2 linked regions of the Drosophila melanogaster genome follow. The protein of the gene in region 1 purifies or fractionates together with the protein of each later gene. This does not show direct contact. Each region holds a gene or a part of one and is shown in the gene's direction. Other genes may lie near its edges. The genes, in order: Gem3 and Glos.

Evidence for each region.
Region 2: the proteins of Gem3 (region 1) and Glos purify together in Drosophila melanogaster (affinity purification with mass spectrometry, with the first as the bait; one large-scale study listed by BioGRID). This does not show direct contact.

Annotation. Positions count from the first base shown.
Region 1 is NT_037436.4:10,458,579-10,464,933, reverse strand, and holds Gem3 (gemin 3), read left to right. Parts: upstream 1-1,832; 5' UTR 1,833-1,907; coding exon 1,908-2,097; intron 2,098-2,155; coding exon 2,156-5,052; 3' UTR 5,053-5,853; downstream 5,854-6,355. Other genes in the region: CG32061 (uncharacterized protein), read right to left, coding at 389-1,033.
Region 2 is NC_004354.4:3,934,437-3,941,120, forward strand, and holds Glos (gaulos), read left to right. Parts: upstream 1-2,080; 5' UTR 2,081-2,385; coding exon 2,386-2,503; intron 2,504-2,556; coding exon 2,557-4,719; intron 4,720-4,778; coding exon 4,779-5,233; 3' UTR 5,234-6,146; downstream 6,147-6,684. Other genes in the region: CG2938 (uncharacterized protein), read right to left, coding at 1-743, 824-920, 1,294-1,561; Gem4b (gemin 4b), read left to right, coding at 6,624-6,684. UniProt on the Drosophila melanogaster protein: Component of the survival motor neuron (SMN) complex that catalyzes the assembly of small nuclear ribonucleoproteins (snRNPs), the building blocks of the spliceosome, and thereby plays an important role in the splicing of cellular pre-mRNAs.

The DNA of each region.
Region 1 (6,355 bases):
GTTTTCTCCACTGAATAAAAGTGAGCAAGAAAAAGTGATTGCCGCATATTTCCCACGTGGTGGAAAAGTTTTTTCCAACAATAAAATGCCAAGCGGTGCATAAAGTTCATAGAAAAGTTTTCTCTTTTGTTGATTGAAAATGTCGCTTATTGTCGCAGGCAAAACACCAGAAGAAATCAACAATACAAATGTTGTTGAGAAATTAAAACTAACAATAAACCAATAACGAATTCCAATGCTCAATTAATGCTACAATAATTTAAGTTTACTGATCAAATCAAAATCACTTTAAAACTTTAGAGCTAAGTCAACAAAATCGATTTATTTTCCATTATTATAATTTTTGCATCAAACATAAAATAAAAATTTTAAATATAGATTGCCATGTTCAGTCCAAAAGATGTGTTTCAATGGAAATACAATTTCCAGAAAGATGAGATGCCTTCTCCAAGGATACTCCTCCGCCGATAATTTGCGACCAATAGGGTATTAAAGTCACGGATGTAGAACGATGCCAAAAGAGGCCTTGCAGTTCTCCATAAAGCTGAATCGCCCTCCAGTTAGATATGCAAAAATGCTGTATGACCATGTAAAATCGAATATAGTTGATCAATCCGCTGGCCACAAAGGTCAATATCCAGGGCAAAGCAAATAACAGGAATATATTCCGCGGCAGGGTTCCGTTTTTCAATGCGGAATTCTGTTTTTTGATCCAATTGTTTTTCACTTGCTCTGCAGCTGTTGTCGTAGTTTTAAGGATTCCTTTCTTTTCCATCGATACCTCACTTTTGCCACTTTGCAAGTGTCGTGAGTACCAAACTCCGATCATAGATAGTAGTGAATACATTATGGCCTTAACCAGCATCCAGTGATTGTATTTATAGCCCAATTGAAGCGTTAGATTACGATTCACGGAGGGATAGACCGTTTTTAGATTGGCATTCGCCTCGATGACCGGCTGAAGATTTGAGCCCAAGTGCAGGGATGTCAGCAGCGCAAAGTAACCAATGTCTCGTATTTTGGGTATGAACATGGTTCTCGAATTTGGAGTTCAAAATGAAAAAATTTTAAGTCGTTTTTTAAATTTTGTATCTAATTTTGTGTGACCTCAATGTGCTCTGACATTCCCAGTCTGATTGCTTAAAAAACGTTATATTATAAACATTTTTTGATTTTTATTTTAAATTATACGTAATTAAAATTACGTAATTAAACAATTAGGTAAATAATAAAAGATTTTATCGTTGTTTGTTATAAATTAATTTATTAAATTGAAAGGCAGCGTGCTGAAACTACTTAACTGCATCAACTTATTTTAGCGACATAAATTATTTGAAATTCCCGCCAGCTGGTACAGTTTGAGAGCAACTATTAGCTGTGCTAAAACCCCTGCATTTAAGTGCTTGACAATCTTGCCTTATTCCAACCTATTGGAAATATAAATTTCATATTAAAACAATCAACGGTACGATGTACATATTTTTTTATTGTAAAACAATATATTGTTAAGATTTCAAAAGGAATTAATTTTTTATTTTTAGTTCAATTGGTTGGAGTGCTTGGTAAATAGTTAGCACAGATAGCAACCTTGGTGTGAGCCTTCGCTAATATTTCGACATAAGATTTAAATACAGAAAATAATATTTAATTCTAACAATTATACCTTATTTCTGTGTGAAATTATGAAAAATGTAAACATTTCTCTGAATACAAATGACATTTCGTTACTGTAGGTTTTGTTCTGTGTAAATAGGTTTAATATTCACGGATAATTCGTTTGTAGTATATTTTAGTATATAATTATTCGCGTATGATGGATTTTTTGGCCGGCAATAAAAAAGTGTAAATTGTAGCAAGGCAACCGAATCGTTTCAAAATTTTGTCCAAAAAGTGGAAATTTACGCGAAATGGAGCGCGAAATAGCGCACAGTTTAGCTGGCGGCGAGGAACGAAGTAGCGATGTGGCACCTGGACAGGTTAAGACCTTCGAGGAACTGCGTCTATACCGAAATCTGTTGAACGGATTGAAGCGCAACAATTTCGTGACGCCAACGAAGATTCAGGCAGCTGCCATACCCATGGCACTGGCCAAAATGGGTAAATATCTTGCATGCAACAGAAGATTATCAATAATAGTTGCTATATTAATCTGCAGATCTAATAATACAATCGAAGAGTGGAACTGGCAAAACTCTAATCTATGTTATAGCCGTCGTTCAGAGCTTTAATCCCAACATAAACCAACCGCATGCCATGATCGTGGTCCCAACTCGAGAGCTGGCCATTCAGGTGCAGGACACATTTTTCCATCTCTGCAAATCGTTTCGGGACTTTAAATGCTCTGCTTTCATCGGTGGCACCGATGTGGCCAAGGATCGCAAGCGAATGAATGAAAGTCGAGTCATTATCGGTACACCGGGACGTTTGCTGCATCTGTATGAGAATAGAGTATTCGATGTGTCCAAACTGCGACTGCTGGTGCTCGACGAGGCCGATCAACTTTATCAGACAAAGAGCCTGCAGCATACGGTCAGTAAACTCATTGAGGCAATGCCCAAGAATCGGCAAATAATTGCCTGCAGTGCCACATACGATCAGAATTTGGATGAGCGTCTGGCCAAGGTCATGGACAAACCCATGCTTATATCGAATTCCGAAAGGGCTACCGTTCTACTGGGCATTCGGCAGTTTGTCTACGAATTGCCACAGCAGAATAACAGTGTGGAGGAGATGCGTCTTAAACTGCAGATTCTTGGCCAGATCTTTAATCAGCTGCCTTACGAACAGGCCATCATCTTTGCTAGCTCACAAATGCGAGCGGATTCTTACAAGAACTATCTTACAGCCAGTGGTATCGATTGTCATTTAATTTCGGGAGCCATGGAACAATCGGAGCGTTTGCATGTTTTCGAGGGCTATAGAAACTTTACTATGCGCATCCTGGTGGCCACTGATTTGATGGCACGCGGAGTGGACTCCCCGCATGCCAACCTGGTTATCAACATTGATCCACCACAGGATCATGTCACCTATTTGCACCGCATTGGACGAGCTGGTCGGTTTGGCTCCAAAGGCATAGCCATCACGTTTATTGCCTCCAAGAAGGAGAGCCAGAGATTTAGGGAAATGTCAAAAAAAATCGCTACGGCTTGGTCGGTTCTGGAGTTTCCCAAGGAGCCAATGCCCAATGAATTCAATTTTTGGGATTTCGAAAAGTACAACTTTGATTATTACATTAAGGAAGAGAATCCGCTACAGGAAATGCCTATGCCTATTAAAGAAAATAGAAGTAAAGAAAATGTTGATGCTTCTTCAGTTGACTTGGAAAATCTTCAAAAGGATCAGGATGGCAAAAGGAGAGATCCAGACAAACTACCAGTGGCCTTAGAAAATGTTGAAACCCAAAAAGAGTTGGAGCTCGAAAACTTACCAGAAAGTTCACATAATAATAAGAATCTTAGGGTCAAAGAGAAAGAAATTGTAAGGCAAGGAAAGCTTAAAGAAACTAATTCCAAAGCTGGAGGTTCTAAAACGAACAAGACGGAGAGAAGGAAAAAATCTAACACTCCATCAAAGTTACAGAAACAAATAACTGAAGTGCAGCAAACACCAGAGATCACCGTAAATAAATACTATATGCAAGAAGACATACAACGAACAGCAGACGGCAAAGAGTATCATCCTGTTAATGGAGCGGGAAACCACCAGGTTCCGTCAAAATCTAATCAAAAACCGGTGGAGTTTATATCTCCCGAATTGACACCAACCCTAACACCATTGGAACTGACCCAGGAGCCGTCTCCAACCACAGTGACACCACCTGCACCGCCAGCCAACTCGATTAACAACAAAACCTATTGCCTAGCTGCTCCAACGCAAACCAGTTCGATGACCATACAGAACATGGTAATATCGAACACGGTGGACGATGCCAGTAGCATCAGTTCGGATAGCATGGTGGTATGTGGCTATCATAGCGATAGGTCCTACGACACATACTATGCAACCAGTGATGAGGAGGAGATCTGGAATAGATTAATGTCGAAACAAAGGCGTCAGCTGAAGAGCAAGAGAGGCCATGGAAAACGGCGTGTGATACTATACAAGAAAGTATTTCCTAAACTAAAGGCGAATGTTAAACGCAAGCTTAAAAAACGGATGAGCTCGTCATGCAGATCCAAAAAAGCACACCATTTGCGAAAACGTCATGTATACAAAAATATATCACTTTTGCCACACATGAATTTGTGTCATCTGCTTCAAAAATTTACAAATCAAGAGAGATTTTTGAAACGGCTCCACAAATATGCAAAGAATCAATTCATTGACAATGCGAGGGTTGGCTTTTTGCTGGATAAGCTCTATAAATCCATCCTGGAAATGTACTATAACAGTGCTAAGGAGAGGAAGAAGCATTTTAAGGAAGCTATGAAGGAGTCCCTAAAATCCATTGATAACTACGAGAGCCAAGAGTCTTCGGAATCAGAGGAGGAGGAGGAGGAGGAGAAGGATCTAAAGAACAAGTTAAGTGTTCATGTGACGAATCAGATGGACATACCACCAATGCCACAGGCCGCTGTTGAAATTGGTTCAGGAAGTGAATCGGATACGGAGGACTCGCAGGAATACGGCGAAGGCGAAGAGATCATTGTGGACGATGAGGACGATGGCAGCGATGGCGGGCCAAATTCATCGAGTGGTTTTGTAGAGAGTCAGGAGAGTGTTTCGTCTGGAATAGACACTTCCGTTTACGAAACGGAATCTACGGGCGCATCTGGAAATAATTCAAGTGCATTCTTTATTTCGGATGATGAATCAGATACTGAATCCTTAACAGATTCGGAAGCTGGAAGCAATGTCAGCGCGACAGGATCAAGCTCACAGCGATCTTCAGTAGCGAGCAGCACCTATGAATCTTCGGATGATGATTCTGTAACTGTAACCAATGTCAGTTCAATGCAGAACGCTCAATCATTGTGGTTGCAGACTTTCAACATGCAGTACCAATTCATTGCATCCCATGTGGCCAAGAATCTACAGAACTATTACTAAGTGGTTATGAATGAAAAACTAGTGAAAACTCAGGCATTAAAATTAAACTCAACTAATCACTTCATTCGGAAACAAAACGGATCAGTTCCAAGAGAGGCTGTATCAGTCTCTTTCCTTACAATTGTATATCGTAGCCAGTTAAACCGTTTTCTTAATTAGAATACTCAATGTCGAAATAGTTGATAGCATGTTGGATACCATGAATGTTTTTTTATGCAAGCAATAAATTGCAGAATTTGTTACCAAAAAAATAAATGAATTAAAGCAGGAAACTAACTATTTTGAATTTATTAAACAATAAGTTCATTGCTCAACTTCTTTGATTTCAAAATTGATTGTTTTTCATGTTTATTCGCTACATAATCGCATCAAACAAATTAATCCACAATGTGAAAGTTAAATCCCTTTAATCACTCGCAATGATTTATCTAAGAGATGGGAAAACAAACATTTTTCTTGGTTTCGGCAAGCCGGATGGATGAAGGTAAAGAAGCGGCGCCAACCGACTGCCGGGACATAAATCATATAGTCAGTGGGATCGGGATCGGCATCGACCATCGACCATCGGGCAACGGGCATCAGCTGTGTGGCAGACAACATTGTTGCACGGGCGCCGCTCACTTTGCAACTGACTGCAGAGGTGTTAACCCATTAATTAGCTGTTGTCAAAAGTCGTTCACTCGATTTTGAAAGCCACTCGAAAATCAGAATGGATTGTACAAAAATATGACATATATTTATGTTTTATTTATTTATTTAATGCATTTTGTGAATTATTTGTGCAACGAATGCCATGTTTGTCAGCAAATAAATGAGTTCTACTATTTTCTTTTTATACTCCACTGCTGTATTTAATTTTTAAAATACTTCGATTCATAAATAATTTATTTTTAAATTGATTAAATGCAGTTAAAATTTTTAAGTTTCCTTTTACGAGTTTTGTGTCCCCATTTGCGAGTGCTTCGCAATGGGTTAAGCGAATGAGACGGTCCACAGGCGGCATGCCGCGTCGGTGGCATAGTCAAAACATTCGCCCTGCGGTCGAGCACGCAAAAAGCCGGCATCTGGATGGTACTGCTCATTGGTCGTCGATCTGCAGTGCCCCAAGTGCCCCTCTTTTGGAGTGCAACACCCCTCCCCCCCCTGCGTTGCAAGTCCAATAAGGAGCGTGAGAAAACGCAAATTCAAAGCGAGCTGGAAGCGACAACATTTTATAGATCCTAGAGACATGGATAGCGTTGCATTTTGTCGCTGCCGCAGTGGCAGCAAACTCAATTCGATTAGCGATAAATGCGAGATGCGA
Region 2 (6,684 bases), on another chromosome or scaffold:
TTTGCAGCGTGGTGTATGGCTCAGAACTGCTGCAGCAGGTGCCATCATTGTAGTTCATGTAGTCATTGCAGTACATGTTCCACAGTAGCTGAACCTCCAGTCGCTGGCCATGGGCGCACAGCTGATGACCATCGATGGCGTTGTCCAGCAAACCATTGGCTATGTGCCAGGCGGATTCCCAAACACTTGCCTCCGTGTAGCGAAAAACTCCTCTGGCCACATGGTTTAATCGATCGATTTGCTCGTTCTGGAGCAGCTTCCAGTGCGCGGGCAATTTCTCCTCGTCCACGCGGTCTGCTAGCTTCCAGAGGACCCGCGAAGTTTGCGCCACCAGGCGATGAAACGGAGCCACCAGCAATGTAAGATTGGCGGCATATTGCCGCAGCACATCGTCTGTGGTGTTGCCAGCGAGCAAGCCGGCATAGGTGAAGCCCACAACGTACACAGAGGACAGCTGCTTCTCAGACTCCAGACGGTACAGTTGCTCCACAAGCGACGGACTCACCTCCTCCGCCCGAATGTACTGGGCCAGCATATGCAGCTTCTTGTCCTCGAAACGGGCTGAGCCATCAGTCACCGAGGCGTTATTGTCCTCCTCGTCGGCCATTTCATCCGCGGCCAATGGCAGGCGAAGTTGCTCCACAAATCGTTCGTAGAGCAGCCGTATACTCTCGTCGCCAATGAACACAAAGTTGTTCTTGTTGTCGAAGAAGGCGAGGTAACGCAAACAGCGCCTTGTGTCACTGTAAATAATGAGAATTTCGGTTTGGGTGACTCATTAATTGGGGGGTTATCTTGTCGGGAATGTGCGTTGATTACTCACGTGAGGGAGTACTTGTGCACCATGCAACCGTACGGCTGCCACTCGTTGTCGCCCTTAAATCGGCCCTTGGACAGCAGCCACTGGCAGGAGTCACTGCCTGCGGGAGAACAAAACAAAACAAATCAATATCCATAATAAGCATACGATGGCAGCCAACATCCCAAATATGAACTTTACATGTCGTTTATATTAATCCAACCAACTGCAGAATTTGTACACTAATCTTAAAATTCGACATGATTATCTATATTTACATAAACGTTTGAGATTAAAAGTTTGTAAAAACCTTTTTTACTATTTAAAATGTACCGAATATGGTCAAACGTCAAACTGACTCATTAATAATATGAGAAGAATAAGTGAACATTGGTATACAATTGTGATCTTAAAATGGGTACGATTCCGTATCCACATCCATTATAAATTTCATAGTACTTAGATCTTTAAAGATCTTGTAACCTTGGACCCACCGTATTTCCAGTTGAGCAGGCCGTGATAGACGATGAAGCCGAGGACCAGAAGCAAAGCCACCTTCTTGGCATTGGTGGCGTTTAGTTGTTCCATAAATATATCCGCTCTGGTGGGCATACGCTGTCCTCCGGCGGCGCCTCCAATGCAGATGCCGCCTAGTTCGGGACTAGGGGCTCCATTCACTGACACTCCGGGGGTTCCGGTTGTAGCTGCTCCAATGCCTCCTACGCTTCCACCATTTCCACCGCGCAGTTCGCGTAGCTCCATAATTTATAAGCCGTCTGCCGCCTTCTCCACCGCCACCACCAAACGGTCTGCGACGGAAAGTCTGGCCTATAATATAGATAATTTGGCCTATTGCATGGGCATGTTTTAACCCAGTTCCGCTTGTTCCTTAGGCAGCGACCGACTCCTCCTATCGCTTGCTGTTTCGCTCTTGCTTGGCTTTTATTTTACTTTCCTTTAGCTTTTGCTTCGCCGGCCGATAGACAACCGCGTCTATCGACCGCCACCCACAACACAAAACTATCGACACCGAACAGCTGATTTGTCTGCATTGTGGGCGAACGGGAAAGATCGTTAATAATATCAATTATCAAATTTCGAAAAACACAATACTATACTTTATAGCAAATATACATTTATTTTTTTACCATTTAAGCATTAGCTTTTGCTTTGCCGGCCGTTAGGCAGCCGCGTCTATTGCCCTCCAACGCAATACAAGACTATCGATAACGAACAGATGATCTCTCAGCATTCCTGTCGAAAGGGAGGATCGTTAATAATATCAATTATTAATTATCGAATAAGGCACTACAATACTTAATTTATTTTTCAGCTAAAAATATTTACATATCATAGGAAAAAAATTAGAAATAAAGTTAAATAAATAGGAATAAATCTACATCAGAGAGTCCATAACAAAGCGAAATTTTTGTATTCGGGACATTTTCATTTTCAAAAAATATTCTTCGCACGCAAGATAAGTGGTACGCAACTATCGATTTTGGATAGTCATCTGACGAGAAGACGCACATAAAATTGAATTCGTTCGGAAAAGTTTTGACAAAACGCGAAGTTTCGGCAGCACTATGATAACTGCTAAGAAGCACCCGCTGGACAATTGCCAATTGTTTGTCCAGCTGAAGAAGTTATTTCATGACTACAACGAGAAGGTCCAGCGTCTGAAGGACATGATTTACTGGAGTGGTAAGTGAAGTACCAGAGGTTAGTGCCCAAATATGAACATTGTTTGTTCTCAGGAAACGATGAGCACATTGCGAAGATCTGCGACCAAGTGACGGACCTGCTGGTGGAGCACGATCTAATCATACAGCCGCCAGACACAATGGATCCTTGTGCTATGAATCACCTGCGTGGACTACTGGTGTACCTGGTGCTGAACACTGCACACGATGATATCCAGTGCGAATCGCAGTGGAGCGCCAATGTCATGCATTTGTGTAACCAGCTGCCGCCTATCCCACTGTTCTTGACCATCGCAATAGCCGTTAACTGCTGTCTCATGGAGCCGCTGGAGGAATTCCTTGCTTGTGGACCCCGCTGGCTGACCATCCAGTATTTTGAGGCATTCAATGAGGCTCTGTCGGTCATTAATTCAGATTGCGTGGAAACACTACCGCTGCTCTCTGCCGCCCTCAGAGCAGCCGGTCGCGCAATTGTCAACTGCAATTTGCCCGCAGAAAATAAGCAACTGCTGCGCCAGATAGCCTGCATGGAACATCGTCATATCTTGGACTCTAAACAGCGCCTCCATACGCTGCCGCGTCCATCCACTCGAAAGATTTACCTGGCCAAGGCTATGGATCACCTTATAGAAGTCCTTTTGTATACCCTCAATGATCCATTAAAGCGGGAGAAACCAAATTGCTTCGCCGTCTACAGCCAAATAACCGAGGACATCAGTGACAGCAACTCAAGCGATCCCATGCCTGATCTGCGGCATTTCGCCCAAATACTGCTAGACGTTCTGCAGCGTATCTTTCAGCTCGTTAGCGTAGACACGTATATGTATTGGCATGAAATGAAATCGAAAAGTGCTTTGTATAACTGCCAGGAGCTAATCTGTAGACAGACGGCAGAATTGCTTAAAGTACTCCAATCAGATAAGTTGCTCGGAGAGCATCCGGTTTGCAAGCAGATGCAGAGCTTTGCGGATGCAGCAAAAACATTGGAGCAGCGCGTTGCCGAGATGAGAATCGGTGAACTCTTGGCCTTTATCGATTCCGGTATGGCCACCAATGAGGAGTTGCTCGCCGGGCTGGACAATCTCTTTAGCCGCTTCATAGCCTTTGGCAGCGATGAGTGCCTGGAAACGATGGCAAATCATTTAATTATGCTCACCAAGAAACATGCCCAGATAATACTCAGTTTCCTGGGTCAGGTGGTGGAGTCCGAAATGGTGGTCGAGGACGAGGGCATATCCGTTACGGAAGTAAATCAGGGGGACGACGAGGACGAGACCTCGTCCAACGATGATTACGAAGAGCTGCTAAGCCTAGTACTGCGTCCCTTATTTATGCAATTAAATGTCGAGGACAAGATGGAAGTACTGCTATTACGCGATGAGCAAAACGTTACCCAAGGATTTAATTTCAAGGCTCCCGATCATCGGGAGCGTCGCATACGCTTCTTTAATCAATTGGATTATAATAAGCGCTTCCCGATAACCGAATTTTTAGTACTGTGCTTTGAGAACGCAAGACAGACCTGGATTGATTTCTCCCACTTGGGCGTGACGCATACTCGCTTCTCGAAGCTATTCTGGCACATAGCTCAGTCTTGTCCCAAGCATGCTGCTTTTCATATTTCCGCCTGTGCCGATAACATCTTGGTGAACGAGCAACTACTTCAAAAGCCGTATGCCTTGCAGTTTACACTCTACCTATATGGCCACCGACAGATCCTCAACGGTCTCTACACGTCAGCGCGACAACTGTGCGTTAGTTTGAAAGACGGACGGTGTCCCTACGGAGAGGATGAGCTTAGGCAGGCGCAAAATAGGTTCCTAGACGCGTGTGCCTACGGTTTGGCCAAGTTTATAGAGCCCATGAACTTGCCCAGCTTGCAGTTAATCTTGAAACTGCTCAAGCAGATTAGTCTGGGTGAAAGCAATCTAATCACCCGAGGCACTGCAGAGTTAAATGCACTCGAAAAGGAGCACCCGAAATTGGAGAACGGAGACGATGCACCAGCTGTCAAGGTGGCCAAGCACTACACATATCTGCATGCCAGTTTGCCAGAGTGGCGTTTGAAACACTGGAAGCTGATCTCGCATGTCATGAAAACCATTGATGCCCTACGCTGGGACTTGGCCACCTTTGAAGATTTCCGGGTGGATAATTTAGAACTGGCGGTGTGGTATTGGCAGGACGGTCTGTCTCATCTGACATTCCTAGGCACTGGTGCGCTCTTATAAATGTAAGTCCAAGACGAAAGCCTACTAATTATTGCTCTTTCACAGAATTCCGCCAGAGGATCTTAAACCAAGTGAGCAAATTGAAGCACAAGGACTTTTGGATCATCTACCTTAAAGAAGACACCTTAAAGGACACACGCTCCTTTCTCAAATTGCTAACTCAGTCCAGTGCACAGGAGGCTAACGATCTCTTCAACAAGCTCCTTAAAAAAAGGGCCGATTGTGCTGTTATGGGCGATCTTAGCGATGCAGTGGTCAAGGTGAACAGCGAGTCCGCTTTCATGGCCTTTAGATTCCTATTTCGAGAATATTTGATCGCCTTCCGGAGCCACGCCAAACACAATAAGACCATCACGAAGCGCCAGCATTGGGATCATTTGATGGCCGTTGTGGCCAAGGCTCCATTCTCCATTCGCAACGAGATTATGGAGCTAGCTAGTAAAGCCTTCGCTGTGCGATTCGGCATAAATATCCAGGAACAGCAGGCGGCCAAGTGTTAAGGAGATGCTGTTAGAAGTGTAATTTTCTTAAGCCAAATCGAAACACCGCCGCTAATCGACTAAAGACGTACATATATAATAATCATAACGCTAGGATGATGTTCAATCCAGATATCAGATTATTTTACAATTTTGTATGTCCTTTAAAAGGATGACTGTATGCACATAACATATGTACTACTGCCTTGCAAATTTTTTGTCTATTTAAAAAATACTTTGGCAAGCAAGTGAAGTTATTCAGATGAAAACTATTGCAATTTTGCATGTTCTTCATATTATTCGTATAATTATGTATTATATACATACATACATATATAAAATACAAAACGCTATGATCGAACATCAGAATAATATGTGTGAGGAGTCTACGTCCCCACAAATCTGGGTGCAGGGGAGCGGCCTTGGACGCCAGGAAAGCGGAGAGACTGTGAACTAACGGTACCGCGCTGGACCTTGGACTCGAGCCTGCCAAGGGCACGGAGGTCGAACAGTAACGGTGCGGACTTTGGACACGCACAAGAGGACACACATTGTGAACTAACGGCAAATTAGTTGGACGCGCAAAGGGGAAAATAACGGGATCCCCGCGGCCTATAAAGGAACGGCGCAAGTGCAGCTTGGGGCAGTCAGTCACAACACGCGAGGAGCCACACGTACGCGAGGATAGTCGAGGAGAGTACGGGCGCGAGTCGAGCCGTCAGGAGGCGGCCGCGCAATCGGAACGGCGTCTAAAGAAGAGAGACAGTGCGTTAGAACGCGCGGATACTACCATCAAGTTTTTTGTCTATTAAATAAATACTTTGGCAAGCTTGAAATTATTGTAATTTAGCATGTTCTTATTATTATTCGTATTCTTATGTACGAATTCCAAATCTATCTCTCGATTTCAAACTCAAGTGCCGCATGCGAATCGCATTATTTTAAATACTTTTGCTAAATAGGACCACTGTTTAAAAAACTGCAGTTGACTTTGGAGAAGTCGCAATATTTATAATGTCAATTATTAATTATCGAATAAAACATTACAATAATAATACAAATAATTAATTATCGAATAATACATTACAATACTTTATAAAATATCTTCATTTAATTTTCAGCTGAGCAAAATACAAAATATCATATGAAAATGTTTATAAATAAAGTTAAAGTTAAATCATAGCATGCAGTGGACAAGTCATATTAGTATCTATCTACATCAGAGAGTCTATTACAAAGCGAAATTTTTTGTTGTAGGGACATTTTCATTTTCAAAAAATATTCCTTGCACGCAAGATAATCGGTACGCACCGGTAAACTATCGATTTTCGATAGTCATCTGACAGAAGACGCACATAAAATTGAATTCCTTCGGAAGAGTTTTGACGAAACGCGAAATTTCGGCAGCACGATGATAACTGCTGAGAAGCACCCGCTGGACAATTGCCAGTTGTTTGTCCAGCTGAAGAAAA